4 linked regions of the Diceros bicornis minor genome follow. The protein of the gene in region 3 interacts with the protein of the main gene of each other region in a pairwise test. Links are inferred from orthologs where the notes say so. Each region holds a gene or a part of one and is shown on either strand. Other genes may lie near its edges. The genes, in order: PLEKHF1, NGB, L3MBTL3 and PRKAA2.

Region 1 (7,553 bases), on a different chromosome or scaffold from region 3:
TGGGAGTTTTCCACCTTCCCTCTCTCTCTCTAGCTTACCAGGGGAAGGGATTCTTGCTTCCTGCGTCATAAGCTGACCTATCCTTGGCTGTGCTGGGTCTGGATAATAGACAAAGGAAAGAGAAAACTGAAGACACCAGAGAGGTAAAGCTGGTCTCCGTCATAAGCAGCTGAGATGGGAAAAGATGAAGAAGAACAGAAATGGCAAGCTGCCCCGGCTGAGTGTCTTCAGGGAGAATTTGGAGGACCAGGAGACAAGAGTGGGGAAGAAAGAGAGCCTTGGAGAGCCGTCACCCTCTACTAGAAGGATGAAATTAGCCGTGCTGGATAGGAAGGAGTTTTAAACGTTTGCTGAAATTAAGGATGTGTTTTCTCTTGTGGTATTTCCTCAAGGGCCTGAGCACAAACTTGGAAGTCCTTTAGATTACTTTGTGGCTGTGGTTCTGTCTGTGACTACAACACGCCCACAGACTGAGCTACTTGGGACCCCAGTTATATTTGGGTTACACTAACAAGGATGAAGGCAGAACTGGGAAGGGAATGGAGGAGAGTCAGGCACAGGAATCCCTAGGACAAGGATTTGACCTGGTTTCCATATAAAGACAGACGTGAGTGACAACATTGGAAGTAGCCAGAGAGAAGCAGAGGTGGACTCAGGTAAGGTACTGACACATTTACACACACAAACAGCCAAGGGCAGGTGCTCTAGTCAGAAAGCTCTGGATAGAAGTGCCAGCTCTGCCACTCACTAGCTGGCTGACTTGGGAAGGTCTCTTCAGCTCTCTGAGCCTGACTCTTCTCATGTGTGGAATGAGACTAATGGTGGGAGTAATCGTGGGACTCGCTTGATGGGGATGTTGTAAGCTCCCGTGAACCTGCAGCAGCTCTCAGCACACTGCCCAGCACGGAGAAAAGGCCCGTGAGTGCCCCCTGGTATCACCATTGTTCACTTAAAGCTGCAGATACCCTAAGATGATCCTGTTCAAAGGCCATTTTTAAAGGGCCCAAAACTCTGACCTGCAGGTCAAGGTCATACCTACATGACCTCAGAGGCCACAAGATCTGTTTTGGACTCCCCTGAAGATGGATGGATTTAGGAAGAGTCTTCTCTCCTTGGTGCTGCACCCTGTGATACCAGAGTGGAGAATGGGGGCGAAGAAGGCGACTTTTCGATGAGAAATTCACTGTATCATTTCATGCTAGAAAAAAAATTCAAAACAAAGCAATGGAAAAAGATCGCTTAGGCAATATTTGTGTGCCCAAAGATTGTTCAGCAAACACTAACAGTATGAGTGGCAGAACATAAGGATATTAACATTGAAAAATAGAATTCAAAGTAAAATGCTTTTAAAAAGATGTTTCATTTTGATAAAATAACAATTCATCAAAAAATACGTATGTAATAGACCAGTTAACAGAGAAAATCAACGAGGTTAATGACATGACAGGCTTCAAAAGAGAATGATTTGAATCTCAATGGGTTAAGAAAATTGATAAAATAATTAAATGTTTTTGCAAAACTGGCTCTTATGACCAAGCAACAAAAGTCAGAGGTAACGAGAAGGATGCCCTGCTGAGCGATCACACATTTTGTGTGAGAACGGAAGCCTTCTCCAAACCAGCAGGACTCAAGCTTGCTCTATTCTAGGAATGTTTGAGTAGTTGCAAATGTAGCCTATGTTTTGTTAAATGGAAGACAAACATTTTCATAATTTTATTTCATTTTTGAAGATCAAGTCGCTTTTTCCTTTCTTTTCTTTTCTTTCTTATTGTGTCCCCATCTTGAGTCGATTCGCTTGAAGGGGTTGTTCTCTGAGAGCGGTTGTCCTCAGGTAATGAGCACCCCTGCAGGTATAAGGAGCACAGGTGGAGACGTGTTCAAAGGTTAAACTCCATTCTCTGTCAGAACACTCCAAAGGAAAAGAGGCCCCATAAACAGTGGACACATGCAAACACTTTCAAATGCAGTCGTGACGCCAGCAGTCAGGAAAGACTCCTCTTAAAGGAAACAGCTTCTGAGTGTAACCACTGTGCCTGGGCTTCAGGCGGAGATCAACCTCAGTGGCATCAGAACATTCCTGTTACATTCCCGAACTCTAGCCTGTGCTCCCAAGGGGAGACTCAAAACAGAAACAAGTAACGAGCGACTACTGTGGGTGTGCACAAGGGAACTTGTCCTCGGGGCCTCAGTCTCCGGGGAGGCAAAATCACAGACAGACCCACGATGCGGAGCGACAGAGCTGTAAGAGGGTTGAGCAGGATGCTACGGGAGCATGGAGGAAGAGTAGAAAGTGCCTCCAACTCAACCTGGAAGTCAGGGGATCCTTTGCAGGGGGAGGGACCGTCCATCTGAGGCCTGAAGGCTGGATTTCCCAGAAGAAACTCAGAGGAAAGGGTGTTCCAGAAGAGGAAGCAGCCGAGTTCAGAGATGTGAGAGAAAGACAGACAGACGACAGCTGGCCGGGAAGCTGGCAGCCTGCACACTGGGAAAGAATGACGACTCGGGTGTTGACTCTAATGACAGAGAACCACTTCAGTGCCAGACCTCTGGTCTTCAAAGCCTCTGAGGGCCAAGGGAGCAGCCTCCTTAGGGGCCACCAGGTGGAAGCCACAGCTTTTCTGACTCTCCAAATCTGTGTGTCCCAGGTGGCTATAGGGTGAGAAACCCAGCAGAGTGGACGCAGCTGGGCCTTGCTGCCCCTGCCCTGGGGGTCCACTCCCCCCCGAGGGTCCTCATCGACTCCTCCAGCCCCTGCATGCAGGGGACCAGAGTAAGGAAGGGCCCTGGTCACCACTGCACTCTGACCTGGGGACGGACACAGGCCAAGGCTCCAACACTGAGGCAAGACCTTCCCCAAAGCTGGGCAGGAACAGAAGGGAAATGAACACAGAAACAGTCATCACACCTATCGGGAGCTGGTGCAGAGCCAGGCACGCGACACGCTGCAACAGGACAGTCTGCTTTATCAGATGGCTTTGTGACGTTCATTTTGGATAGAATTTCTCAACAGTGGCACTGTTGACATTTTGGGCTGATCATTTTTTGTAAAGAGGGGCTGTCCTGTGCTTTGTAGGATGTTTAGCAGCATCTCTGGCCTCCACCCACTAGAAGTCAAGAGTATCCCCTGAGTCGACAACCAAAGATGTCTCCAGAAATTCTCAAATGTTCCCCGGGGAGCAAAATCACCCACGGTTGAGAACCATGAATTTTAAACATGAATCTCATGAGGACCGTCTCCAGGCTGTTCTCCAAGGGACCCAGGAGCCCGCCCTGCCTGTAGGAGCCTCAGGATTGCCTTGTGCAATGAGAGGTCCTATAATTCTTCAAAGGGGGTTGTATTGTGGGCAGTGGATAGGAAAAGGGTCTCTATAATCTGCAAGCTCCCCTTCTAGACTGACAACTTAAAAATCTGTGCCCCTTCTGGACTGGTGCAGCCTACAGGACCCGCCTGGGCAGGCGGAGTGAAGGCTGGATTTCAGCCCCTCTCATCTCTGCCCAGCATCTTCGTGCAGTGAACAACCTGCCCAATTGTGTGCAATGACCTTGAAAAGAAAGCTCCCCTCTGGGCTCAGAACTGGGGAACGTCTCAAACCAGAAGAAAATACATGCATTCTGACTTTCCGTTGGAGGCAGTACTGCCTATTGGGAAAGTCTGTTCTGTGCTGTACATGATGAATTCAGGAAAAATGTGAATTGAGTCAGGAGATTTGGACTCCAGATAGTCAAACAGCCTTTGGCCAGGTGAAATCCTGTTTCTAATTGACACTGGGTGTAGCCAGAGGCCCATGCGACCAGGATGCCCACGTGGAGGGCGGTAGGGGGAGGGAACAGGAGGTTCAGGGCAGTCTTAATACCAGAGAATGAAAACCAGAAGGGACTCACTTCTTAAACAGGAAATAGATATTCCAAAACCACTCCCTGGTCACAATGCAGAAAGCAGCAGTAAGAGCTGTGTGCTTGCACCGCCTTGGACTCTTCTGTGCTAATTCACTCACCCTGAGCTCTGCTGACTTCTTCCTTGAAGGAGCTGCAAATTCAGTCTTTGACTTCACGCACAGTCCCCTGGGCTCCGAGGGGCTCAGAAACCCTCAGTCTTGTCAGACACTGACTATGAGGCTTTTAAAAAGCTAGATGGCTGAGACAAATCAGCTCAAGAGATCACAGCTGTCTGACTTGGGGGAGGGTAGGAGAGGGGAGGGAGGGACTTCAAGATAAGCCTTTGGGTACTGTTTTGTTTGTTTTTTAAACCTTGTGATTTAATTTGATGGAAGATTTGGAGGTTTTTTGTTGCTGTTGTTTTGTTGTCTGTTGTTTGTTTTACAACAACTATTTTAAAGTTTCTACAACACACACATACACATGCACACACGCACCATAAAAGGCCCTTAGGGAATGCAAGGGCCAATCCCCACACTGGCTGTTTTAAGTTCTCTGTACAACTTCTTCTGTAACACCGGGGTCTCAGGACATCCCTGTGAGCTGTTACAGGCTGGTGAGGGGGGAATTAAGGGAGAGGTCAGGGTATCTCCATTGGTAGACCTGTTGCCCCATGGTTCCTACAGGGGCCTGGCTGTAGGCTCCAGGCAAAACTCCTGGGGACGCTCCCCAGCACCAATGAGGCAGTGCCCACTCTGGATGGCAAAGCAGCTGGTGATCGAGAGGCTCACCATCAACCGTCAGGCAGGAGAAGGGTGAGTACTAGAAGCATTCTAGGTGGGGAGACATTCTTCATTTTTTCAGACCCAACAGCAGTCATCTATTTTCTGAATCCCTGTGGAATTTGTGGCTGGAGAAAATGAGAGCAACCATGACAGGACCGTTCTGTCTGCAGTCTCTAGCTGTGCTCCCAAGCCAGGAAAAGTCAAAACATTGAGGCCAGGTGGTTTCGTGCTGCTCCAGTAAGACCCTGAGATGGTGGGGGCGTGGAAGACAGTCAAAATTTCTGCAGCTCTTCCCAAAGGGGCTGATAACCTCTGTCTATTTTCCTCTAACGGGAAGGTGTTTCTGAGTGTCCTCCGCCCCAGCATTTTGGCCTCTCCCTCTTCGTTCTCCCTATGGCTTTGGGGGCTGGAGGTGTGGGAGATCAAAATTTGGCCACCCTGAAATATGTCTCTTTACCTTGATTATTTTCTCTGATGGACATTTGACCTCCCCCACTAACTGCCTAAAGGAATTTAACTCTGGGTGTGGACAGACTGGCAGCATCCTCGATAAGCCCATTCTTTTCAAAGTTCTGTTTACCAAATATTTACATTTGTAAAGGTATCTCCCTCTGTGTAGTGGGAAGGGGGGACGACCTTGTCTGTGAAAACTCTTATCAGGACGGAAGAAGAAGACTTAAATGTACATACTCTTGATTACTATAATTCCTGTCTCTCCGGCCACATTCTCTATAGGTGGCCTTGCAAAGCATTGTCTGACAAATATTTACATTTCCCTCTTCATGTAAATTGTCTTCTCCCCCTCTGAAATCCCAAAAAGCCACCCACCTCCAACATCCTTCTTTGCCTTTAGCTGAAGATAGTATTTAAGACGAGAATCTCTGCCACTGTGTTGAGAAACTCAGTGTCCCTGGTTTCTCCCATGTATACATGTTATTAAACTTGGTATTATTTTCTCCTGCTAACCTGTCTTGTTAATTATTTGGACAGCCATAAGAGCCTTAAGGGAAAGGGCAGAGGGAGATTCTCCCTCTTCCCCCACAGAGGTGAAGGGTCAGGGCAGCCTTAAGAACTAGGCTCATTTCTGAAATCTCCTTTCTCTTAATTTAGTCATCCCTTCAGAAAAATTTTTTGCGTGATATTTTGCCTTGGCCTTTGTAACGCCATTTCTATGCCTAGATTGTTAATTTTTGTTTTGTTTGTTTTTTCTAGTTTTAGTTTATTTCACTCGGTATGGGAGGGTTTTGCATTTTGTTGTTGTTATTGTATGTCTTTGATCTTGCCGGTGGATTTTTACTTATTCAGAGCTCTGCTTGTTAAGGTTTGAGGGAGGGAAACTCTGACTCCGGCTTGGGAAATTCCCACCTGTGGCTTTGGAAAAGGGAGGAGAAGTTCTGAGCCCTGGCCTTCAGAACAGGAAATAGCTAAGAATCCCCAGGGGAAGGTCAGAAGGACCTTTACACCCTGGGAGAGAGTTCTTACAATGGAAAATTGTGCTTGCTTTTCTTTTCTCCTCTCCTAACAATAGGTCACTTGGAACTTTTCCAGTGTGATTTTCTTTGAGGCCTAGATGGCCACCAAACCCCAGCTCCCAGACTTGCTATTTCTTTAGAAAATCCAACACTGAACTTTTGAAAGGAAAACACACACACACATACACATTCCAGTTAGTTGGCAACCATGTAAAGAGCAGATACAGGAAATGCTGTATGTGCTATGAGACTTTAAATTACAAATTATGTAATTACTTATTTTACTAATATTTGTTTTCATTTTTAATTTATAGTACATTCATTCTTTTAGTGTACAGTTCTAAGTGTTTTGGCAGATGTATACAGTGTCACCACTGCCACATTCAGAATACAAAAGTGCTTTCATCATTCCAAAAGTCACCCTCATGCTGCTCCTTTGCAGTCACCTTACCCCTAACCAGAAGCAATGCTGTCTGTTCTCCATCCTTAGAATTCTGCGTTTTCAGAATGTCAGCATGTAGCTTTTGAGTCTGGGATTTTCTTGTAGCGTAATGCACTTGCAATCCATCCTTGTTGCTGGATCTGTAGAAGTTTGATCCTTATTATGCCTGAGTTCCTTTTCATTTCCTTGTACAGATATACCATACTTTGTTCATCCATTCATCTGAAGGACATTTGGGCTGTTTCCAATTTTTGGTTTTTGTGAATTAAGCTGTTATAAGCATTTGTTAACGGGTTTTGTGTGAACAAGCGTCATTATATCTCTTGAGTAAATATCTAGGAGTGAGATTGCTGGGTCACATGGTGAGAGTATATTTAACTTCTTAAGACATTGTCAACTATTTCTCAAGTGGTTGCACCGTTTTGCGTTCCTAGTAGCAACGTATGAAAGTTCCAGCTGCCCTGCGTCCTCCCCAGCACCTGGCATTACCATTTTTTGTTCTGCTTTGGTTTTATAGCCATTTAGATAGGTATGTAGTGGTATCTTGTTGTGGTTTTAGTTTGCATTTCCCTAATGTCTGATGATGTTGAGCGTTTTTCCTGTGTTTATTTGCCACCCATATATCTTCTTTGGGAAAGCGTCTATTGGCATGTTTTGACCATTTTTAAATTGAGCTGTTTGTTTCCATTTTGTTAAGTTTTGAAAGTTATTTATATATTCTGGATATATATCCCTTTGTCACATATGTGATTTGCAAATATTTACCCCTAGTCTGTGGCTTTTGTTTTTATTTTAAAAGTGTTTTTCACAGGGCAAAAGTTTAATTTTGATGAAGTCCAATTTTTAATTTTTTCTTTATGGATCATGCTTTTGGTGTCTATCTAAGAACTCTTTGCTTAACCCAAGCTCACAAAGATTTTCTTCAGTGTTTTCTTCTAAAAGTTTTAGGGTTTGATGTTTTACATGTAGGTCTAATAT
Region 2 (7,604 bases), on a different chromosome or scaffold from region 3:
CATACCATGTGGAACAGAAGAACCGCCCTGCTGAGCCCAGAGGAATCACAAGTCATTGTTTTAAGCCAGTTTGTTTGGGTATGGTTATATACACAGCAATAGAAAACTGAGCAGACCAGCTAATCCTAAAGGCTCCTTAAATTTCTATGGTTTGGAGAAATTTGGAGACTCAGAAAGGTCAAGGCAGTGCCAGGGTCACACAGCAGGTAAGTAACAGGTGCAGGCCCCGAGCCCTGGTCATTTGAGAGTGTGGGAATGGGAAAAGAGAACAGGTGGAAGGGGAGGACTGGGAGAGAGAGGCAGTCTCATGTCAGGGGCTCCAGAGAGAGGAAGAGACCCTTTACCCACCGAGAAGGAGCTGAGCTTCACGCCCACCGCACGGTGCTTCCTGCCCAGGCCAGCAAGGTACTCCTCCAGCGAGGACAGGTCCTCCACATTGGTCACCGCAGCATCAATCACCAGCATCACCTGCCAAGGCCGAGGCAGCAGTGAAACAGAGGCCAGAGCAACCCTCCGGAACCTGAGGATCCCAACCAGAAGTCAGAGGTGACCAGGACCCTCAGTTTTCCAGGATCAGAAACGCAAGGCAACCTGTGTTGGCACCAGTAGGCGCCAAACATGTGGTGGCCAAACTACCAATGTTACACCGTGAAAGAAGCCCCTCTCCTCTGAGGGCTCAAAGCCCTAAACGTGCCTGCTGGACACTGTTGTTTGCCTGGGATGAGGGGAAACTGAGGCCCTGTGAGAGTCACGAGCCTCTAAGAAAATCCCAGCTTGGTTTTCATAGGGAAATGACCCCTAGTGGATCAGTGCCAACACCACCTACAGGAGCCAGGGGATGAGGCCGAGGACAACAACAGTGCTGGGACCAGCTGGCAGAGCACAGGAGGGGAGAGGGCTGACTGGTGCCCCCGACTGGGCCCGGCTCCGTGCAGAGGGAAAGGAGCAGATGCCCCTGACGTGGGGAGCAGAAGGAGGGGAGTAACACCAGGCCTGGGGCAGAAGTAATTTCCCCTCTCCCGAGGCCCTCACTCTCCCAGGAAGGCGCCCTCCTGGATCCCAGAGGCCCCCTGGGCTCCGACTTCCCCTCACCTTCCTGATGTGGTCCAGGAACTCGGGAGAAGAGAGGCAGTCCTCTGGGCTGGAGAACTGGCGGCAGTTGTACTGGAAGAGGGGCAGCAGGTTGGGCTCCAGGTCAAACAGCCTGCGGGGAGAGGCCCAGGTGTCAGCCCCTGCAGGCCCCGCCGGCCGCATCAGCCCTGGCTTCCAGCAGTGGGGTGGGGCTGGGCCACTACAGCACACCCTCCAAGCTGGCACTGACCCCTCTGCCAGCTTTGCTGGCGCCCCCTTCTCGCCTCTTCTGCAGGCTCTGAGGGGCATCCGGGAAAGAGCAATGTGTCCCCAGGCCTCTCACAGGACCTGGCATATAGTAGCCCTCCATAAACAGTTGAGGGGTGTGGACTGGGACAGGAAGGGGTCCTCAAACAGGAAGCCTGGGCTTACACTGTGGGGAGAGGAAAACACTTCTCTCTCTCTCTGTCTCTCTTTCTCTCCCCACCCCCCACTCTCTCCCCACCCCTCCCCCTCTTGAGTCAGAACCTCCCAGTCTCATCATGTCTAAGGGGGCTCCAGCCAGTGATGATAATAATAATATTAAGAACTCCCTACACTTAACTGAGCATTGAGTACTTTACACGTGGTGAACTCGTGTATTCCTCACAGGGGGTACACTGTGGGATCCTAAGCAGTGGGTACAACTGTCATCACAATTTTATAGAGGAGGAAACAGAAGCCCAGAGAAGTTAAGTAATTTGCCTAAGGTCACGCAGCTTGGGAGTAGAGAGCCTCAGAGGGTGCCTGAGAAAACAGTGGGCTTGGGGAGAACCTGGAGGCACAAGCAGAAGCCCTCAGCCACCTCTGGGAGGGCTCATTGGGTTTTTGTGTAACTGGGAATTTATTCCTCTTTTGTTTGGGGGGAGGTTTTGCAAAAGGTTCCTCAGAAGTTCTGGGCTGGCTTAGGGAGTCAAGGCTCCGGAAAAACCATGGTGAAAGGGAGTGCTGCCTCTTTGTGAAGGCAGAGGGGTTACCCAGAGACCCTCAGCTAAGGTTGAAGACTGGCCTCCCCTTCCCCCTTGGGGTCTGCGCACCCCCTACCCCCTCTCCCCTGGGGCCAGACTTGGGTGCCTGTCCTCCCTTCCCTGGCAGTTCTCTGATTCTAGCCTGGTCCTTTCCTGGAAAAGGCTTCTCCTCCTGTTGGTTGCTGGAAGCGCACACTCCTGGGGCCCGGACCCAGGCCCCGCCAGGCGCCCGGCACCCTCCCTGCACGGGCCCTCGGGGCATCTCAGTCTCCCTGTACTGACAGCGGGGGGACACCCCTGCAGTCAACACCCCAGGAACAAACACACAGGAAGCATAGAGTCGGGGAGAGGGCGCAGTGGGGACCCCATCCGCTAGCCCGAGTGTAAGGAGTTCCGGCGGAGAGGACCCCCGCCCGCCCCCAGTGAGCCGGCTTGGGAGCGGGATGTGCAGTGCTGGCTCGCAGGACGCGCTCACCGCCCGGGGAAGAGAAGAAGGGGCTGCGCCACCCGTCGCCGGCCCCGCTCCTCTGGCGCACATCTGGAGGCGCCCCAGAGCCAAGGCAGCGGGTCAGTTTTCCCTCCTCTGGTGCTGGTCCAGCCGCCTGGAACCCATTCATACCGAGGCACCCCGCCTCCCGCACCCCGGGGCGCTCGGGCCGACCTCACCTGGCGAACAGGACGGTGCCATGCTCCAGCGGGCTGCGGCTTACCGCCCGCCAGCTCTCCCGGATCAGCTCGGGCTCGGGGCGCTCCATGCTCGCCCGGGAACGCAGGGCGCAGAGCTGGGACCCTCGGGGCGCGGGCACCGTCACCGCACGTGGCGCGCCATCTCCGCGGCGACGCGGGCCACTCCGCACCCCCTACGGCCCGCGCGCCTCGGCGGGGCGGGGTCCAGCAACCGCTCCTTCCCCGCCCTAGGTGGAGGCTCCCCCGCCTTGCGGGCCCTGCTGGCGCTTCCGAGGGACCCCACTCCGGCCGCTGCGCCCCGCGGCTTCGAGAGCGCCCCTCCCCGCGCCGCCCTGGCTGGGGCGCTTTAAAGCAACCGCGACCCCCGCCCCCCTCCGGTCCATCAAGCCGCGCACCTCTGGGCAACCGGCTCTGGCCAGGGGCGACCTGGTGGCATGGGAAATGCCCGGGCTTCAGAGCTTAACGGAAATCGTCGAGCCTCTCCGGGCCTGTTTCTCATGCGGAAACTGGTGGTAATTTTACCATTTACAAGTTAGGGCGCCGTGTTGAATTTGATCGCCTCAGGTAGGCTCTGCAGGCCCACCTCTCCACAAAGCCCACTCAAACACCGCCTGGAGGCATTTGAGTTTGCCATCCCCTTGGCACACGGTCTGCTTCCTTCTGCCCCGTGGGCTGATCTGGGGATGCCAGGGCGCCTACCTGTGTGACTAGGCTGAGGTTGAGGGACTCTCTGCTCTAGCTCTGGCTCTGACTGAGGCACCCTGCACGTTGGGCGCCACCCTGGCTCTCAGCCTTAGGGACAGGGCCAAGACGGCAGCCATTTCCAGCCTGGCCTGGGTTCTCTTGAGACTCCATCTTTAGAAATCTGTGAGCTCCATTCTAACCCCAATCTGCTTGGCCAGGGTGGGGTCCAGGTGCAGCAGCTATGAGCATTGTACTACCTGGACACTGACGGAGTTATGCCCGAACATTCCACCATTCCACGATTTTTAATAGACTCTTTAACAAGTTTAAATTGAAGTTCTGGTAACAGAATCTCATGCTTGCCATTCAGGGTGTGAAGTTGGTCACCTGTCAATTCCACTTAAACCTTTCTCTTTCAAGCATGAAAGTTCCCCAGGCCCCAGCCCAGTTCTGGTGGGCAGGTTTTGAAGAGCAAAACCCTCATTTATCTTTCATTATTTCATGTCTCTGAGCCTGTGTCCTCTCAGTCTGCCCACTTGTCTCTCTCCAGTTCCTCAGCTGTACAGTAAGGAGGTTGGGTAGCAAGGTCTCTAGGGGGCCTTTCAGTCCACCTCCTATGGTTCCATGAATACAAGGTGAGTGTTCCAGGGCCACTGGTGATGGACAGGCTGAGGCTCCACGCCTAACCCTGTGCTAGGCATGGAGTGCTGAGTCCTTGCCTTCTAGAACTCCTTCTGGCCCTGAGTCAGGACTGAGGGTCTCAGCAGAACTCTTCTTTCCTGCTCACAGCCAAGCCCGATGAAACCACCTAGCTGCTCTCCCTCGTCCAAGGACTCAGGAGTTTGGAGTACATCCTATTCCTCTCTTCCCCATCTCCCCACATATCTCTGGGGTCTCTGGGCTGGAGCAGGAGAGAAAGACTGTGAGGCAGCCTGGCTTGTGTCCTAAAGAGTCTGTGAGATCCCCAAGTAAGAGCATGAAGGGACTAAGGGCTGAAGGAAGAAGGTGGCCAGGGTACTTGAGGACTAGACTTCCAGTTTGGCATCCTGGGCCCTGCAGCCAGGTCAGCAGGTCATGGGGGGATGGTGGGGAGGCGACATATGTCTCCGGTGACCTCTACCTTTCAGTGCCCAGGTGCCTGATGCTCCGTGTAGGCCACCTGACTCGTCTAAGGCTTCCCACTCCACCCAGGTTGCCCTTCCTGGCATCAGTCTACACTCGGGACCCGTCTTGCCTCCTTTCTCCTTTGGACAGGGTCTGGGGTCTGATAAGTTAACGGGAGTTAATGGCCTCAGCTAGTAAGTGGTGGAGTCAGCACTCACTCAGCACTTCTAGAGCCAGCAGGAGGCCAGAGGAGAGAGCTAAGTGTACTCTAATCTCTGCTCCCCTTAGAGAAAAGGCCTGAGACTCTGGCTGGGCCTAAGCACTCAGGGTGGTGTATTCCAACCAGGAGATGGAGGGTCTGATTCCACATTTGAGAGGCTGGGGAAAGTCACAGGAGCTCCCCTCCCTGCCTGGCATCTGCCCGAGACTTGGGCAGGAGGTTCTAATCAAGGGGAGTGTTCAAGTACTGTTCTAGAGCCAGTGCCGTCACTGAGGTCAATTTCTCGTCAACAGTAATCCAGAGCTAGCACGTACTGAGCATTCTTGTCCAGGCCCTGTGCAAGGTACTTTGCACCATTAACTCTTTTCACCCTCACAATAACTACGAAGTAGGTACTATTTATTGTTTTACTGTTGAGGAAACAGAGGCAGAGAGGTTAAGTAACTAGCTCAAGGTCACATAGTTAATAAACGGTGGGGCCAGGATTTGACCTCAGGTTTCACTCTGTCCCATCCTCCAGGCCTCCATGCTCCACTGCCTCCCTCATTTTAATGAGGGGCTGTGACCAAGAGCTGCCTCCACAGTTCAAAGCCAATGTCCCTGGGCCTAGGTCAATGGCAGGCTCTTAGATGGCTTGTGAGAGCCAAATGTGAGCATCTTTCAGTGACATCAGGTTGGTAGCCTGAAATAGGCCATGGTGGGAGTATTGACACCATGGAAATTGGAAAAATGCCACAAATCAGGGCTTTTTCCTCAGAAAACTGGTCTAGGTGCACCAGGAAACACCGGGCGCTAGATGAGCTGTCCATGCGTTAAGCAGAATGTACAAAGGAACATGCTAAACCTGGACACCTCTGAACCAAGTCCACGCCTTCTCCCCAGGCGACCCAGAGCTGCCAGGTTGTTCTGGGAAGGTGCTTCTAGTCCCAGGACCCGGCTGGAGATGCAGAAAAAGCCCAACTTGGCGCCTAGTCCTGGCTCTACTATTTATTGATCATGGGACCTCAGGCAAGCAATTGAATCTCTCATGGGTAGAACGAGGACAAAAACAGCCCTGACTTCACAGGGTCTTTATGAGGATGAAGTGTCACAGATGTGTCGGGACTTGGTAAACTAAGCTGCGCTAGTCAAGAAGTGTCTGGTCCTTCTCTAACCTGCCTATCCTAGGCATTTTCCACCTCCTGAAGATCTGCATGCCCTCCCCTTCCCTGACTCCAGCTACTCTGGGTCCTAAGGGGCACAGGAGTCAGGCAGCCCAGAAGACCCCCAATTTCACAGTGCAGTGCTACTTCTCTCCTCCCCCACCTACTGTCCAACACAAGTCAGCTCTTGCCCCCTTCGGACCTAAACGTGACTCCTGATAACAGAAGACCCCTGTCAAGATGGGAGTCTTGGGGAAGCAGAATGGAAGTTGCTACAATTCTGGGCTATTCAGCTGTCTCAGAAGTGGACAACTGTTATCTTTCACTCCTTTCTATACTTGTGTGGGCAGGTTAAAAGAGAAAAAATAAGGTCCAGCTTCCTACTTATTTTGGAATAAGTTTAAGAAAATCAAAATAATAACCAACATTACTCAAGTAACCTTGTAGGTGAGAGGGCCCAAATGCCCTCTGGGTCATTAGGCTCACCTTCGCAGCCCAGGGCCTCTGCTGGAATTAGAATGGCCTCAGACTTGAGACACAATGGAATGGTTCTTGTAGTCAAAACATTCTTCTCTTCCTTCTGGGAGCCAGAGGGCAAGTCAGATTCAATTAAGTACAACAAGAACAACATAGCATTGAAAATAAGAGCTATTTATTACAAATTATCCTCTGATTATCCGTGGAAAAAATTTTTTTAATATAAAACGTGGCACAAGAAGCTGGCTGGAGGTTGGGCTAACAGAAGTCTTCTTCCTCCACCACCAAGTTTGTGGGGCATGTCACATTTCTGCCAATTCTTGGGGGCTGGAGTCCATATTTGGAGCACCACTCTGCCAGCCCCTCTCCGCAGCATCTTCCAACAACAGAACCTGGGCACTTGAAGCTGCATCAACCCACGTGGCCTTGTCCCCAGAGAAGTATCTGCCAGTCTGGGCAAGGAGGTAGAGGAGGGAGTGGGCAGACAATTCTCCCATCCTTGGAGAGCAGTGGAAGGGACAGAGGAACCCTTTGTCCCCAGTGTGGCCAGATCAGGAGGGAGGGACAGGCAGAAACTGGCTGAGCTTTCTCCTTCCTCCCCCTCACTCCGAGTGGCTGCCCCTTTAGCTCCTTCAGAGCTCCTCCCTTCCAACAAGATCCCATTAGGAAATAAGAAGGCACAAGGGATCATCAGCCGCCTCCTGGTTGTCATCGTGGGCCACTGTTCTCAGCTAAGAGCCAAGCACAGATTCCTGCATGCTACCTCCAGGAGAGCCCACCCAGATGGCTGCCCCCACCCAGCTCAGAAGAAACCAACTCTGCCTGTGGGGAGGAGGGGAGGGAGATTGGTGGGTTGAAAGGGGTGAGCAGAGGTTCTCCATCCCTGCTCTCTTTCCCTTCCAGAAATGCAATTAAGCAAGCAGCCCAGACTCAGCACACAGGCAGCGCTTCCTGCTGGGGGAAGTCAAAAGGGCTGTAGCCCTGGAAGAGGGAGGTCATCAGGCCCCAGATCTAATTTAACAAACCTGCCTTGCTTTTGACATTGCTGCATTTCCTCTATTAACATTAATGATGGTTGGTCTGAACATCCAAGCATGGCCAGAAGCTTCCCTCCCCACCACCCAGTAGGTAGCACAGCCTGTCCCTGGGACCAATTTCCAGTCTCCGTGGCAACCGCCTCCCGAAGCTGCTCTAAAGAGCTCTGACCCTGTC
Region 3 (7,451 bases):
ATTTATCAGAGAATAAAATGATCAGCTCATTTAAAAGGCAAATTTCAACCAAAGGTCTTTTCATTTTTTTCAAAGTTCTAAACATATATTGCACTTTGTATTCTTATTAACATTCAAAATGAAATTATCCGCTGTGACTCGTGATTAAAAATAGATCAAAGGTATACAAAACAACAAATAAAAAAACAAACAATTGTTTCTAATCCCAAGAGTGACCAATCTCAAATCCCAGAATAAAAGCCAAGTGTTTTTCCCATGTAAGTAATGAGGGATGCAAGTGACCCGGTCTGGGTCCTCAGAACTCATCTGCTCTCCGATTTACTAAACTTTCTATTTCTGATCAGCATCCTTTCACACAACATCTGGCTGCTGGCACAGGTCGTCTAATTACTTCCACGTCTGAACCGACTACGTAGCTACAAGTAAAGGCCAAACTTTCCTCTCGGCCTTCCGAACTTAAAGATGCGTTTAACCACTAGAGGTCTCCCCTTGGCCAGTTTTGCACGTTCGCGATTTTGCTGCACTTGAAACTTTCCGGCGAAATGCTCTACTCGAGTCAGTGTTTTTCTAAAAACTTGCGCAAAAATCCACGCGACCGAGCTAGCCAGTCCAGAGACTCTCGGGCCCCCCAAACCAATAAAGCTACCACAAAAGCTAGGAAAATCAAAATTAAAATTCGACGCACTCGCCCCAGCCGCTCCCCTGCCCCCCAATTCTTATTTCTCATCTCAGTTTCCCCTAACTTAAACTTAGAACAATTAAAAATCTATTTTTGCTCTTGTGCACTTTGAATGAGCTCTAATGCATTTTTCTGGTGGCCCCGGGGTGGTCAAGGAGCGGGCCAAGGGATGCAGGGAGGGGGAAGGGCCGTGCCCGCAGCGCCCGAGGAAGTTGCATAAGGAAAGAGACTCCGTTTTTTGGGTCCCCTCAAAAAATCGGCGGGGAGGGGGAGGAAAAGGAAGCGGAGGGGGGGGAGGGAAACCGAAGCGACGTTTACCTTCGTCTCCCCGTGGAAGGGTGGGGTAAGAACCCCGGGCTTCGCGACCCCGGAGGGCGGCTCGTGACCCCCACCTCTCTCCGAGCGCAGACGGACAAACAGATCCCCCCACCCCTCGGCGGGCAAGGCGGGGAGGAAACCGCCCGCTTTTAAACTTTCTCTCACGGTCGCGCTGTGGGCCGTGCTTCGACCGGGGGGGGGGGGGATCCTGGGGCCTTTTTTCTTTAAAGGTAATTAAAGTTTTACCACCAGCACAAAAGTTGCGCCCTGCCCCCGCGCCCCCCCCACCCCGCCTCCCGGGCTCACAAGTTTTCCTCCCTCTCCCCCCGGCCGGCCCGCGGGGCGCGCGGCGGATGCCCCGGCTCCTGCGCTTCCCGATCCCCACCCCCGCCGGCCTCTACTTCCCCCCGCCCGGCCGCCGCGGCGCGAGGCCGGCCCGCCGGGCCCAGGACGCGAGTGTGCAAGACCCATTATTCCGGAATGGCACACGCACGCGGCGCGAGGCGGGCGGCGGCCCCGCCTCGGACCCCTCGCCGCCTCGCAATATAAGGGCGGCGTAAACAAGTTGCAGGAACAGCAGCCCCGCGCCTCCCTCCCCGCCCGCCGCCGCCACGGCCGCCGCCGCCGCCCGGCACACGCCCGCGCCCGCACCGGGCCGGCGCGGCACCCAGGGCGCGGGGCGAACGCCGCGACGGCGCGGGCTCCCGGCCCGGCCCGCGCCCTCCCCCGCGCGCACGGCCGCCGGGGCCCGCGCCGCCTCGCTTCCCGAAGCACTTTCCTGCCTCGGGCAGAAATAAACCGGAGGGTTTATTTTTGTGCAACTTTCCCAAAATGGCGGAAATTGGAGCCGATCTATATGAAATTCTCACACAGTCGGTCGGGAAGGGGGAGGCGGCGAGGAGGCGAACGCAAACTCTCGGCCGCCCAGCCCCGCCGCGGGTCCGCGAGTGTGTGCGTGCGTGTGAGTGTGCGTGTGCGCGGTGGGAGTCGGGCAGGCCTTTCCGCCGCGCACACACAGCACACGCCGGGCAGACGCGCCTGCACATTCAACCAGTCCATTCTCCGCAGCCCGAGCGGGGAGAAAGTGGCCCGGCCTCTTTTCCCACTGCCTCGGTCTCCCGTACTTGTACTTCTCGCGCTCGCCCGCCCGCTCGCTCGCTCTCCGGTGCGCGCCCGGCACAAAGGCCACACGGGCGGAGGGGGCCGCAGGGGCGGCGCGCGGGGCTCGCGCCTCCCGCCGCACCGATCCGCGGCCCCGGCCGCCCCCGCGCCCCCCGCCGGCGCCCCCCGCCTCGGCGGCCGCGCTCGCCGCCCCGGCTGCGGCTCCGCGGCGCCCACTCGGGCACGCACCCCGGCGGAGCCCGGCGCCGCCGCGCTCCCCCACCCCGCGCCCGGTGTCATGAAAGCGACCAAAGTGACAAGCTCGGGGGGCGCGGGGGAGGGGGCCCACACGCATCCCGCCGCCTGCGCGCCGGCAGAGCCCGACGCGGCCGCCTCGCCCCGGCTCCCTTCCGCACGGCCCCCCACACCCTTCCCCGTGTGCGCGCAAAGAAAAAAATACAAGTCTCTCCTCCCCCCATTTTTTCCTTTCTCTTTTCTCTCTCTTTTGTTCCTCTTTCACACTCGCACTCACTACTTCAGAGTGAGATGCCCAGAGACTCCCCCTCCAGCCCTTGGCGAGTCACTTGCCCACTTTTTTCCCCGGGATTAAGTTTTCTCCTCTTTCCCAGAGGCGCAGAGAAGTGGGGGAGAAGCCCCTTCTGTCCTTTCCCCTCCCCTGATCTGTTTCACAAGACGAGGGTGCGCTTCCTTCTCTCCATAGGTCTCTTAACTTTCATCCTCACCCAGAAAAATCAATGAATGGCTTTGGCACGGGCAGATCTTCAGATTAATTAGAGATTAGATCCGATCAACCGCTTCTTACCCCCAAATTTTCTCTTTTTTTTTCTCCGTCTCACGAGTAGTCCTGACAAATGGTCCAGGGCTGCGGGCGCAGTGCGCATGTGCGCGTAGAGTCAGGGCTGGGGAGAGGGGAAACTGCGCTGGTGCCGGTGCCGCCGCCGCCGCCGCCGCCGGGGAGGCTCGCGCTGGCTGCCCTGTGGCTGCTGCTGCCGCGCCTTCGCCGCTGGAAAGCAGCAATAAAGCCGGTTGGCAACTGCAGCTGCCCGCAGATACTGTTTCAGGTGCATCTTTTCAGTCTCCTTGTCACCGGCTGAGAGCTGGTTCGAGAACAGGCAAAACAAATATGAAAGACGGCAGAGGTTATAGATTTCTTTGTCTATTTTTCACTTTACTTTTTTTTAAAGGCAATTCTCAGAGCAGCTAATCCACCATGTACTGTTCAGTGTATGCATTCAGCCATTAAAGAGCGGGCCTTAGTCTTACGCAAACACTACCCAAAAGGCTACATGCGTGCTACAGGTCATGAAAAATAAGAAATAAAGTTTTAAGCTTTTACAGAGTAGAACCTCCCCGTCTTTTGGGACGGAAAGAATGCATAATGAAGTGTGCGTGTAAAACTTGCGCATTCTTCCCGTTTCCTGAGTGTGGGTCTTTATTGACAGCTTAAACACGGTAGGCCTCTGTTGTGAAATATGTTGGGATTCGTGCATCTACTTAGAAATCAGTGTTAAAGTACCTTGCAGTGAGCAGGTCGAGGACTGCCCTCTTAATATATTCAGGCAAGATGGCTGAGCGGTCCTAAATCGCAAAACCTGTCTTTGTTAAGGCGTCAAAATGAGATCAAGAGTATTGTATTTCGGTATTGACAGCTTTCTATTTATTGACTGCAGCCCTCCTTTTGGGCAGCTCACCATTCTCCTTTTCTACTAGGTACAGGTTCTTGCAAAATAATTCAAGTAATTGAAGTTGTGATAAACATTTTAATGTTAACAGAGTTTGCTGTGCGAGAAAAAAGTAGCACATGTGATTTCAGGAATGGTGGAAGCCACGCTTCCATTTTGCAGGGGTGGGAAGGTAAAAGAAAGGCCTCACCCCTCAGAGAGGGCTATTTATTTTGCATCCAATAAAGGCTAAAAGAGGCCCTTTACCGAAATTGCTGCCTGAGGCCTAGAATTTAAATATATCACAGATGGAAATTCTGTATTAAAAATCCTCCTCCAAAATGTAAGTAATATTATTCTTGATTGGATTTTTTCACTTAAGGAATGTTCCTTGAACCAATTTCAGAAAATAAACTGTTAAATTCCTTCCCTAGGACCATGAAATTTCTCTAGAGAAGTAGACACCCCACCACCCCCCACTGCTTCTTTTGTTGGTATGGTGACTAAATTCTCCAAACCAAAAATCAGGACACATGGTTTGATATGTACTCCAGAACAAAGAAACAAACCCTGGGAGGCTGAAATGAGCTTATAAAATACACTTCATGTGTTGGGCAGCCACTGGTTTAGGGGTGTGAAGTGGGGAAGGCTGGGTTGGTGAGAGCTATAGATAATCTCAGACCACCAGTTAACTATTGCTTTCACCTACCACATCCAAACTTTTTCAGAGCTGCTCCCAAACAGCCTAATTAACTGATCTGAATTTCAGCTTCTCTCCTTTTCTCCTTAGCCCTTGAATAATAGGCAGTGAAATGGCCAAAGGCAGACTACAGGAGGAGCAAGAAAGAAAGGCTATGAACTATGTACAAAACTAAGACCTTACCCCAAAGGAAACTACAATTAATTTTAGATTCCTCTTTCTAAAAGTCCATTTTAGACTCATTCTCTCTAAATAATTTCTGGATGATATTTCTATTTCACATATATTTTCAGAGATGTTGGTTCAACAGTCTGTAAACTTATATTAACGGCCTACCTTGTGCTAAGCATTCTGCAAGGTGCTGGGGAGTAATAAAGGATAAAAACTAGGCCACAAGGAGTTCAGTTTGGCGAGAGAGGAGTCTAGTGAACTGGGCGTTGCATTACAGTATGGTAACTGTTGTAGCCGGGGGTGCAGAGCAAGTACAATTGAGGGGCATCTGTGGCAATAAGGAAAGGCTTTCCAGAAGTCATAGCTACGCCGATTTTTGAAGGAAGCATCCAGGCTGTGTCCTTCCACCTTTCTTCTGGGACGGGGATCCAATCAGAGAAAGCCTGAGTAGAGGTCAAGGGTTTGGGTAGTAAGGTTTGCCTGGGACCTATCACTTACTGAGGTTCACTAACAAAAATGAGGAGTTGAGGCTCTCTACAGTACATTGTATTTCTTCTCCAGAGATCATCAGTGAACCATCAAAGATTTCATCGCAGTTGTCCCCAAGATGTGGTTCAGAATAGGAAATATTTTGAAGGTATTCACGTGTAAGAATAACGACTTTAAGGCTGCTACCAAATTTTTCTACAAGGAATCCTTTGGTGCTACCACCTGAGACAAAAGCAGAATGCACTATTAGAATCTAGATAACATTGTGTTATTCTTCATATAAACTGGTACTATTTCCAGGACCTTTCTCTGTCTGTTCCCTAAATGGTAATATACTAGTAGAAGCTTCTTTGCTACTCCTTCACCCTTCCACTGTTCAGTCACTGGTTAATAATTCAGGATGAATCCCTTCTTTCCAGCGTCACTGAATCTCATCATTCTCCACCACTCTCCCTCGTTGCCATCCCACTCTGCTCCACCCTGTCACACCTACCTAGCAAATCCATCCTTCAGACCAAGTCTATAACTTCCATGATATCCCAAACTAAAGCATTAGCTCACTCTTTTACTTTTCTTTGTATTTATTTATTTACACCCAAACTTATTCGCCACGAAAGGACCTTTTCACCTTGCTAAAGGTGAAAGAAAAAGGATATATTACTCATCAGGTAAGGAAAGGATTATAATGTGTATCACATTCTCAACATCCTAAATATTCTGAAGCTAGAGTCATTTTACATGGAAAGCGTTTTAAACAAATCACTGTACTCCCTCTTCAGAGGCTCTTTGAGGCTCCTCATCACCTCCCAGATGAAGGTCATTCCAAACCCCTTGCACTGTGCTTCATCCGGTAACCTCCTGTCTGTGTGAACTTCAATTTAGAAACCTAACCTCCCTTTTCCTAACACTAAGCTTGTTCTGCATTGATAGGACACACTCCTCCCGTCCTGGAGTGATTCAAGGACTGCCTCCTCCACAAGCCAGCCCCTCACAGATTGAAAGTGCCCAAGAGATTTGTGTTCTGGTCCAGTCCTGCCACCGCTCACCGGGAACCATTCGGCAGGTCACCTCCCATTTCAGGGCTTCAATTCTCTCACTAGTTAGACAAAGAAAACAGAGTAATTGATTTCTGAGGTCTCTTTGAAAGCCGTGTTCCTCCCCATCCTTTGACAGAGGAACTCTGTCAAATATTACGGAACCAAGAAAGGAATGTTAAGTAAGGAGTGAAAAGTTCATCCATCTGCTAGGTATCAGAACGTTATCCGTTTATAGCTCATTCAGTCGGTTTAGGCCTGGAACTAATGAGATGAGGGACACGGGTTCCATTCCCTAATGGCTAGTTAGTTTTGACCTGTTTCATAGCCACAAACTGCTTCCCAACCCCAGTTCCCCATGTTGCAACGTGTGCTATTGGTCACAAGTTTTAAGGTAAAATTGAATCTTTCTATAGAAATTTTCTAAATGAACAACACTTTAAATCATCCTTTTAATGTATTATCTTACTTTTAAGTATGAGTCAAGTTATTGATTTTTTTAGCCTACATAATCGTGTGCTCCATGTTTTTCCAAGTATAAAAATGACGTTAACATTGATTTGGCCAGATTCTTATTATTGATATTTGTAAGAGCTGAGTTTGATTTTCTTGTTAGTGTTCTAGATAACACTGAAATGTTCATATAGGTAGTCTAATTTGAATCCTGGCTATCTTTCTTGTGATCTGCATGCATTCTTAGCACAGAGCTTGTGATAATGAAATGTAATTGAAATGCTAAAGGTGAAAGAAAAAGGATATATTACTCATCAGGTAAGGAAAGAATTATGATGTGTATCACATTCTCAACATCCTAAAGAAATTAATATGTAAGGAACTTCTGGATAGATGTATTTCTTATCATTTTGTTTAGATGCAAAGGTAAAGATAGAAATATGACAGACATATTCAAAAGAGTGGAATAATATAGATCTGTAAACTGACTTCTAAATTAAAAAGAAAAAGACAATTTGTAATTTCCCATAACACATTTACTCATTTAAGCCCAAAATCCAGAAGCCTTATAACTAAACAATATTAGAGCAGACAAGCCAGACTTCAGAACGTCTGTGACAACAGACCCCAATACTCTCTGAGCCTGGTTCTAGAATGTTCTTTCCATTTGACCTGGCTGCCTGATCCCAGCTGATTGGTCCAGGAGTGGACATTTAATCCAAGGACTGAATCTAGTAGCAGAGGGCGGCCTATGAGTCAGTAGGGAGTGCTTTACCATAAGAATAAAAATGATGAAATGGACCACTCATATTCTCACGCTTGGC
Region 4 (7,892 bases), on a different chromosome or scaffold from region 3:
CAGGAAACAAACAAATTTTGGGCAAAGATAGATTGGTAAATGTTAACAATGTCGATAATCATTAAGGGTGGGGATTATTAATACTACTTTACTTTGGTGTCTGAAATTTTTCATAATAAAAATTAAAAAAGAAGTAATTATTGAACTTGTACTACATATAAGATACTATCAACACATTTCATTAATCACTGAGTCTCCAATTTTCTTTTTATTTTAAACTGGAAAACAATACGAGGAACACTTGCTCATGAATATATAAGGTCCTATATGGTCTGGCTTATGCCTATCTCCAACCTCACTAGTGACTAGTACACTGAGATGGAAAATTATGCTCTGTATTTAATATCTGTACGCATAAAATGGAGCTGCTATTAATTTTGACTTCTTTTTTAAAGTGCTCCTCCCTGTATTCTTGCTTCTTGATTTTATAGCTTAGTAACCGTTTTCTTTATTTCAATTCAACAAATATTTCTGGAATGATGTACCAGGTTAGGTTAGGCCCTAGGAAGAGCAGATGGGGTATGTCATTTTCATATATATATGAAATATTCATTTATATATGAAATATTCATATATATAATAACAGAAATGATAGATGCTATAATAGCTATATGAAAAAAAGTGCTATGGGAACCCTAAAGAGAAACATGTAATCAAAACTTGATCAACCATGCTAGAGGAAGGAGAGAATTATCTTTCTATTCTTTCCATAGAAAATGTTACAAACTATGAAGAGGCAATCAAAGAATATGCAGCCAAAAAATGTAGAAAACAAGTATTATCAAGGCATGCAGGATAGTTAATTTATAAAAATATGATTTTCTTCTGGATTTAGTGATCTTTGTGTTGTCAGCTTCAAAAAATGTGTAGATGTGTTTTTTCATTTCAAATAAATATACGCTTTCATACTCAATTTTGCATTTTTTTTCCTTAAAGAGGTCCCGCACATCACATAAACCTCAGATGCCACACAACCTGAATCCACTTGAGTGCCTATAATTTGCTAGGCAGTGTTCTGGGAGCTCAGGATACATTGGTGAACAAAATAGAGAAAACAATCCTCTCTTGTGAAGCTTATGTTCTAGTTGAGAGACAGACAAAACAAAAACATAATAAACGTCTAAATTAAATAGTATGTTAGAAGGTAAGTGCCGTGGAAAAACGTTGAGAAGGGTTGGAGGATGGAGAGTGCAGAGCAGGGAGTGTGGGTGAGATGAGAAAGCATTTGGCAAGATCCAACATCCATTTATCATAAAAGCTCTCAATAAAATGGGTATAGTAGTTTCCTTCTTCTATAGAACTACCTCAACATAATAAAGGCCATATATGACGAACCCACAGCCAACATCATATTCAACAGTGAAAAACTGAAAGCCATCCCTCTGAGAACAGGAACAAGACATGGGTGCCCACTTGCACCACTCTTATTCAACATAGTAATGGAAGTTTTAGCCAGAGCAATCAGGCAAGAAAAAGAAATAAAAGGGATCCAAATCGGAAAGCAAGAGGTAAAACTGTCACTATTCGTGGATGACATGATTCTCTACATAGAAAACCCTAAAGAATCCACCAAAAACTATTAGAAATAGTCAATGAATACAGTAAAGTTGCAGGCTACAAAATCAACATACAAAAATCAGTTGCATTTCTATACACTAACAACCAAATAGCAGAAAGAGAAATCGAGAATACAGTCCCATTTACAATTGCAACCAAAAGAACAAAATGCCTAGGAAATTGCCATTTTCAATAAGCTGGTCAGAGAAGGTAAGCCTCAGCGAGAAGGTGACTGTGAGCAAAGACTTGAAGGAACTGGTTATTGATAATACCAACAGACTCTAGTATAGTATATGAGTTCAGTGGTATGCCATTATTCTCTTATTCAGGCCCCACTTTAGAATATTTGAAGTAAAATAACCCCAAAGACCCAACAGTAGGAGGGTAAAGCAGGAACAGTTGACCAGGGTTAAGAACTGAGTAGCTGCCTGGGGCACTCATCTTAGACATTGGTACTAAACAACACAGAGACACTGAAACATCACTGGAAAATAATACAATGGGGAACATTCTATCTACCAGAACATTTTGGGAGGTGAGACCCCCAAGGGGCATGACCCTTAAGGAGATTTGGTCTGATTAACTGTCAGGTTTGTACTGCAGGGTGGGGTGAGGCAAACATGGAACCACACCTGAAATGGTCAGGGCACTAGACGGCTGAGTGCTGCCACCAAGGGGTGCCCTTTCCCACCTTTCTCACCTATTTAGCATTCAATCTTCCCTCTAAATAAAAGAGGGGAAAACAGCTAAAAATATGAGTTTAAAGTATATATTGTTGGCCTGCTCTAGAAATAATAAAAATAGGAGACTGGGACTCTTAATTGTGAACATCTTAAATGTTCTTGGAGGGCCAGCCCCGTGGCTTAGAGGTTAAGTGTGTGCGCTCTGCTGCTGGCCGCCGGGGTTCGGATCCCGGGCGCGCACTGAGGCACCGCTTCTCCGGCCATGCTGAGGCTGCGTCCCACATACAGCAACTAGAAGGCTGTGCAACTATGACATACAACTATCTACTGGGGCTTTGGGGAGAAAAAGGAGGAAGATTGGCAATAGATGTTAGCTCAGAGCTGGTCTTCCTCAGCAAAAAGAGGAGGATTAGCACGGATGTTAGCTCAGGGCTGATCTTCCTCTCACACACACAAAAAAAATACAGCAAAAAAAAAAAAATCATTAAACATTCTTGGAGCACCACATGATCTTTATTTATAAGCAGCTGTGGCATAGTAGAAAGACAAAAGGACAGGTCAGAACTGGATATTGAGTTCTGACTCTGCCACTGAACTGATTAGCCTTGGCCAAATCAGACAGTGAAAAACTAAGTTTTATCATCTATAAAATGGGGATAATAGTTAAGTTTCTTTTACGACAATTAAATGAGATAATTGTGTTTAAATGAACTTTTTAATCAACAAAGTATCATACACCTGTTTGGCATAATAATAAAGCTACAGGGTAGTTTTATTTTATTTATTTATTTATTATAGTTGCTAGGTAAGGATCATAGTTATGAAGGATATAATCATTTAAGTTGTAATTATCAACAAATAGTTAAGACAGTGCAGAATCCTTTAAAATCTCTATAGTCGGTCTTCACGCAGCTTCAAGAAACCAATCTAACAGACTTTTCAACATCTTTTAATGGGATGTTAGAACAAGAGACAGACATACATCTTGTTATCTCAAAAGCAGAATATGTATTTTGTTTCCTTATTCACTTGAATGAATACTGAAGGAGTGACCCTTAACCAAATGAAGGAAGGGTCAGCATCAAAAATAACTGGCTATTTTCTCCAAATTGCCAGCTAGGTAGAGTGATTCTTAAATGATACTTCTTGTCAGCAAGAAAGATGATCCCAAGAATGAACAAAAATAGCCTCTGTTCAACAGCTGCGATATCTATAATTTATAAGGTGTGATCATCTCTCATTAGATTGTCACGGTGTCTAAACAAGAATGTATGTATATTTGCCATTTGTATATCTATCACTTCTCAGAAAACAAACTTCTGTTACATCTTATTCTTTCTGATCAATGTATTTCTCTCTTTACACATAAACAGCGTGATAAGACACTTCTTGTTTGAGGAATGTGACCTTGAAACGTCATCGTCATGCACAACGTTAAAAATGTTCAACTAATCCTTAAACATTTATTCCAATCAGCAAATAATTTGCAAGCACTGAAAGACAGGCAACATTGAAGAACAGGACGACACGGAAGGAAGGGAGGGAGGGAGGCAAGGAGGAAGGGAAGAAGGAAAAAAAGAAGGAAGGAAGGTAGGAAGGAAGGAAGGAAGACATTCCTTCATTACTAAATTCCTGTCAGTATTCAATACAGTACCTGGGTGTCGCGCCTTTGTTTCCTCTTACCATTTTGTCCCCCCACCTTCTATCTTTATCTTTCATTCATTTGTGCCCTTACAGCCCTTCCTCTTCACAATTCTCTTTGTCTCTTATGTATTTTACTTCCTATGCTCACTATATTCAATTTCCCTTTTCATTTCTTGCACTATTTTCCTCTGGTGCAGCCCCATCACAGGCTATTTCTACACTATATATTTATCTAAGCATGTGCTAAATACCATCAAGCAAATATTGTGACTGATTTAATGAAGAACTTTGTGCAAATTAGTTAGAATGGAGAGCTCTGGAGGAGAGGGTCTCTTCCATCTCTAGGACAAAATAATTGAAAATGATGAAATACGTAGAGGAGGACAATTGAAGAGAGCACAGCATTGGGTTCCGTGTGTGCCACGACCTGTATCAAAAACTCCCAGGCCGTGACGTGAGGAACTTCCTCCTGGCTCTCCTCGGGCTGACCTTGGATCCCGGCCCCCGCCGCCTCCCATCCCTGAGCTCCCTCATGCTCACACTGCGGTTTTCACATCCTCTCGCTCCCCACACTGTGGGCCTGTTTCTCTGCTTCGAATTCGACTCCCATCTCTTTCCATTCGCTAAGATTCGCCCAAATCTCAGCCGCACACTTTCACTCCCTTCCGTTTTCCTCCTAACGGGCCCCCTAGAGCACCCCCCTCGCCCTCGGCCCCTCCGCAGGTGAGGGCGCCGTCCCTTCACGGCTCCCCGCGCACCTGTCGGCCTCCCCCCACCGCCGCCCGCGCTCCGGCCCCTCCCTCCGCTCCGCGGCCGGGCCCGGCCCCCGGCCTCTCGCCGCGCCCCCTCGGTGGGTCTGCGCGCCCAGCCTCCGCCGTTTAGCGAGTCCCCCCCCCGGCCCGGCCCTCCCCCGCCGCGCCCCTCCGCCCCGGCCCCCCCCCCCCCGGTCCCGCTGCACTGTGGGTAGGCGGCGGCGGCCGCGCTGAGGAGCCCGCGGCGGCGGCGGGGGAGCAGGCGGAGGAGCGGGCGGCGGCGAGGCCGCGCACGCCGAAGATGGCTGAGAAGCAGAAGCACGACGGGCGGGTGAAGATCGGCCACTACGTGCTGGGGGACACGCTGGGCGTCGGCACCTTCGGCAAAGTGAAGAGTTGAGTACGCCAGGCCGTCCGCTTCGCCGAGGCCGGGCCGGGCCGAGCCCCGGAGCCCGGGCGGGAGGGTGGCGGGCGGCGGGCGCGGGCCTGGTGGCAGGTGGAGCGGCCCGGCCGCGCGGAGCCGGGGCCCCGGGAGGGCGCGGGCGCACCTGGCCCCGCAGTGGTGGCAGGTGCAGGGCAGGGGCCGGAGAGGAGGGCGAGGGCGAGGGCGGGGGCAGCAGTGCCGGGGTCCAGGGCCCGCGCCCAGCCGCCCGTCCGGTGGTCGGGAGCGAGGCGCTTCCCCTGCGCGGACGTGAGTACCTTCTGTAGACCCGGGAGCGCGGACTCGGCGGTGGCGTGCCTTCCAGCTGCGGCATGGGCCGGACGGGGGGCTCCTCCACGGTCCTGATGGTTGAGTTTCCATTCTGCCAGGTGCCCCGTTAGGTGCTTTCCTTGTGATCTGTAATTCTCACAGCAGCTGGGTCAGGTGTTCTTCTCACGTTGAAGGTGAGAAAACGGGGACCCCTAGAGGCTGAGGAACGTGCTCAAGGTCACACAGAAATTGGCAGAACCAGGATGAAGAGTAAAATGTCTTCCGATTCTGGGCAGGCTGGGAGGTCCCTGCCCTCCCGATTCTTGCATGCTCCCGGGCTCTAGGTTGGTGGGGCTGGCTGTCTAGGGGGTGCTCCAGGGGCGAGAGGTGGGTCGGTCTTTCTGCTGGGCATGTGAAGGGCTGGCATGCAGCTGGATTTGTCAGGGGTTGATTAGAGCTGGGAGTTCGGAAGGTTGGTTGGCATGTGTAAAATGGTTCTAGGAAGGCTTCAGGAGTGGGGCAGAGAAAAAAGCCCCCTTGGTGTTGACCTTGGAGGATGTGGGGCTGAGGAGGCCAGAACTGCTGAGGCATAGTCCGCTGAGGTCTGTTTTCTTGGTGATAGGATCCCATTTTGGGTGTAGAAAAACAGGCTGCTTTTGAAATGTTTTACTTCTTACTAGTTAAGTATTGAACTTTCCTTTTCTGTTGTTAATAAGTCACATGGGATTGAATTGTTTTGTCCTCTTTCCAGAACTAGAGCCAGCTTATTAAGTATACTTTCCCTTTGATTGTTGCACATCCAGGATTATAAGTAAAATGTTGAATTTTTTTTTTCTTTTTGCTGTAGAAGTTCAGTAGGCAGTTTGGAGATTTTATTCTGAGGCCTTTATTTGGTTTAAAATTCATATTTTAATCTTAAATCAAGGCTGTTAAATAGGTAGAAGAAACTCATTGTTTGCATCAGCTCTTATTTACTTCCACATATCTGATACCGTTTTGTTTAGAAAATGCTTATTGTACACCTATGATGTGCTGGCCACGGTTCTGGGCAGTGAGGATACAGCAAGAAACAAAACCAGATTAAAATCCCTCCTTTTGTGGAGCTTATATTCTAGTAGGGGAAGACGAACAATAATCACAATATGTATGTAAACTATATAGCATGTCTAGTGCTGTTGAGAAAAATGAATCAGGGAAGGGAGCATAGGGAGTTTTGTGAGGTTGACAATTTTCAATAAAGTTGTCAAGCAAGGCCTCACAGATAAGGTACTGTTTGTGTAAAGACCTAAAAAGGTTGTAAAATTCTTTGAAGTCCTATGAGGCTATGAAGTTCTGGATTATTTTTGAAAGACCTCGTAAATAAAGTGCATAGTTCAGAGAATATATTTAGCTTGAATATAGGAAGATCCAGGGATTGGATTAATGCTTGTAACGTTACTCGTCATTAAGTATCATTACTGAGGACTAATGTGTTTGGACATTATTCACTTCCTGAAGCAAACAGTGCCTTGGCCATCTGGACATGTACACTCTTAAAGTTATATAACTTACCCTATGTCCTTTCAAAACATTTTTGTTTATCTTTTTAAATTCTTCAGCTGTAATCTGAATGTAGACTAGAACACCCATCAACTCAATTGGCCCCTTGTCAGAGGACAGCTTGAATCTCTTTTGTATACTCTTGAGCTGCTTCCAGGCACTGGCTTCTTCAAATATAGGCCAACAGAATATACTTTGATTTATGAGAAATTCTTTTCCTGGAGGACCCCTGTCCAAGGAGCAGCCAGTTGGAGGGCTGTTCTGAAGGCTAGGTTACAGCCTTTGTAAAGTTAGACTGTGGTTTCCCATCCAAGATTAGAGTTGTTCAATAAAAATTATGGAAGTTGCTACAATCTAAAGTTACTCATTTAATTCTTCGAGGGACAAGAAACAAAAGTACGTACATTTTTAAAAACAGCTTTATTGAGGTATATTTTATGTATAAAATTCACTCATTCCAGGTGAACAATTCAATGATTTTTAGTAACTTTACCAAATGGTGCAACCATCATGATAGATCAATTTTAGAACGTTTTCATCACCACAATAGGATCCCTCATGCCCGGTTACAGTTAATCCTTGTTCCTGCCCTCAGCCCCAGGAAACCACTAATCTATTTTCTGTCTGTATAAATTTGCTTTCTCTGGCCACTTCTTGTAAATGGGGACACTCAGTGTGGAGTCTCTCATGTCTGACTAATTTAACAATGTTTTTGAGGTTCATGCGTGACATAGAGTGTGTCACTAGTTTGTTCCTTTTTGTTGCTGAGTAATAATCTATTGTGTGGATATGCCACATTATGTCTGTACATTCACCATTTGATGGACATTGTTTTCAGATTGGGGCGGTTACAGATGATGCCGTCACAAACATTCACATGCAAGTCTTTGTGTGGACATATGTTTTTATATATCTTAGATACCTTATATATCTTAGATACCTTGGAGTAGAATTGCTGGGTCATATTGTAGTTTTATGTTTAGCTTTTAGAGAAACTACAAACTGTTTTCCAAAGTGGTTGTACCA

The links.
Region 1: the proteins of L3MBTL3 (region 3) and PLEKHF1 interact in binary tests that used the Homo sapiens proteins (3 or more experiments, as listed by UniProt). The two-hybrid records come from large-scale screens. The link is inferred for Diceros bicornis minor from reciprocal best matches to the Homo sapiens genes L3MBTL3 and PLEKHF1.
Region 2: the proteins of L3MBTL3 (region 3) and NGB interact in binary tests that used the Homo sapiens proteins (3 or more experiments, as listed by UniProt). The two-hybrid records come from large-scale screens. The link is inferred for Diceros bicornis minor from reciprocal best matches to the Homo sapiens genes L3MBTL3 and NGB.
Region 4: the proteins of L3MBTL3 (region 3) and PRKAA2 interact in binary tests that used the Homo sapiens proteins (3 or more experiments, as listed by UniProt). The two-hybrid records come from large-scale screens. The link is inferred for Diceros bicornis minor from reciprocal best matches to the Homo sapiens genes L3MBTL3 and PRKAA2.

The regions. Positions count from the first base shown.
Region 1 is NC_080773.1:3,863,759-3,871,311, forward strand, and holds the start of PLEKHF1 (pleckstrin homology domain-containing family F member 1), read left to right. Parts: upstream 1-4,550; 5' UTR 4,551-4,691; intron 4,692-7,553. UniProt on the Homo sapiens protein: May induce apoptosis through the lysosomal-mitochondrial pathway. Translocates to the lysosome initiating the permeabilization of lysosomal membrane (LMP) and resulting in the release of CTSD and CTSL to the cytoplasm.
Region 2 is NC_080763.1:25,129,279-25,136,882, forward strand, and holds the start of NGB (neuroglobin), read right to left. Parts: upstream 3,009-7,604; 5' UTR 2,834-3,008; coding exon 2,745-2,833; intron 1,205-2,744; coding exon 1,093-1,204; intron 469-1,092; coding exon 349-468; intron 1-348. UniProt on the Homo sapiens protein: Monomeric globin with a bis-histidyl six-coordinate heme-iron atom through which it can bind dioxygen, carbon monoxide and nitric oxide.
Region 3 is NC_080762.1:7,779,919-7,787,369, forward strand, and holds the start of L3MBTL3 (lethal(3)malignant brain tumor-like protein 3), read right to left. Parts: upstream 3,013-7,451; 5' UTR 2,922-3,012; intron 2,899-2,921; exon of another isoform or gene 2,842-2,898; intron 2,145-2,841; exon of another isoform or gene 2,122-2,144; intron 2,036-2,121; exon of another isoform or gene 1,867-2,035; intron 1,188-1,866; exon of another isoform or gene 998-1,187; intron 1-997. UniProt on the Homo sapiens protein: Is a negative regulator of Notch target genes expression, required for RBPJ-mediated transcriptional repression. It recruits KDM1A to Notch-responsive elements and promotes KDM1A-mediated H3K4me demethylation.
Region 4 is NC_080752.1:18,539,118-18,547,009, forward strand, and holds the start of PRKAA2 (5'-AMP-activated protein kinase catalytic subunit alpha-2), read left to right. Parts: upstream 1-4,888; 5' UTR 4,889-4,937; coding exon 4,938-5,031; intron 5,032-5,482; exon of another isoform or gene 5,483-5,521; intron 5,522-7,892. UniProt on the Homo sapiens protein: Catalytic subunit of AMP-activated protein kinase (AMPK), an energy sensor protein kinase that plays a key role in regulating cellular energy metabolism.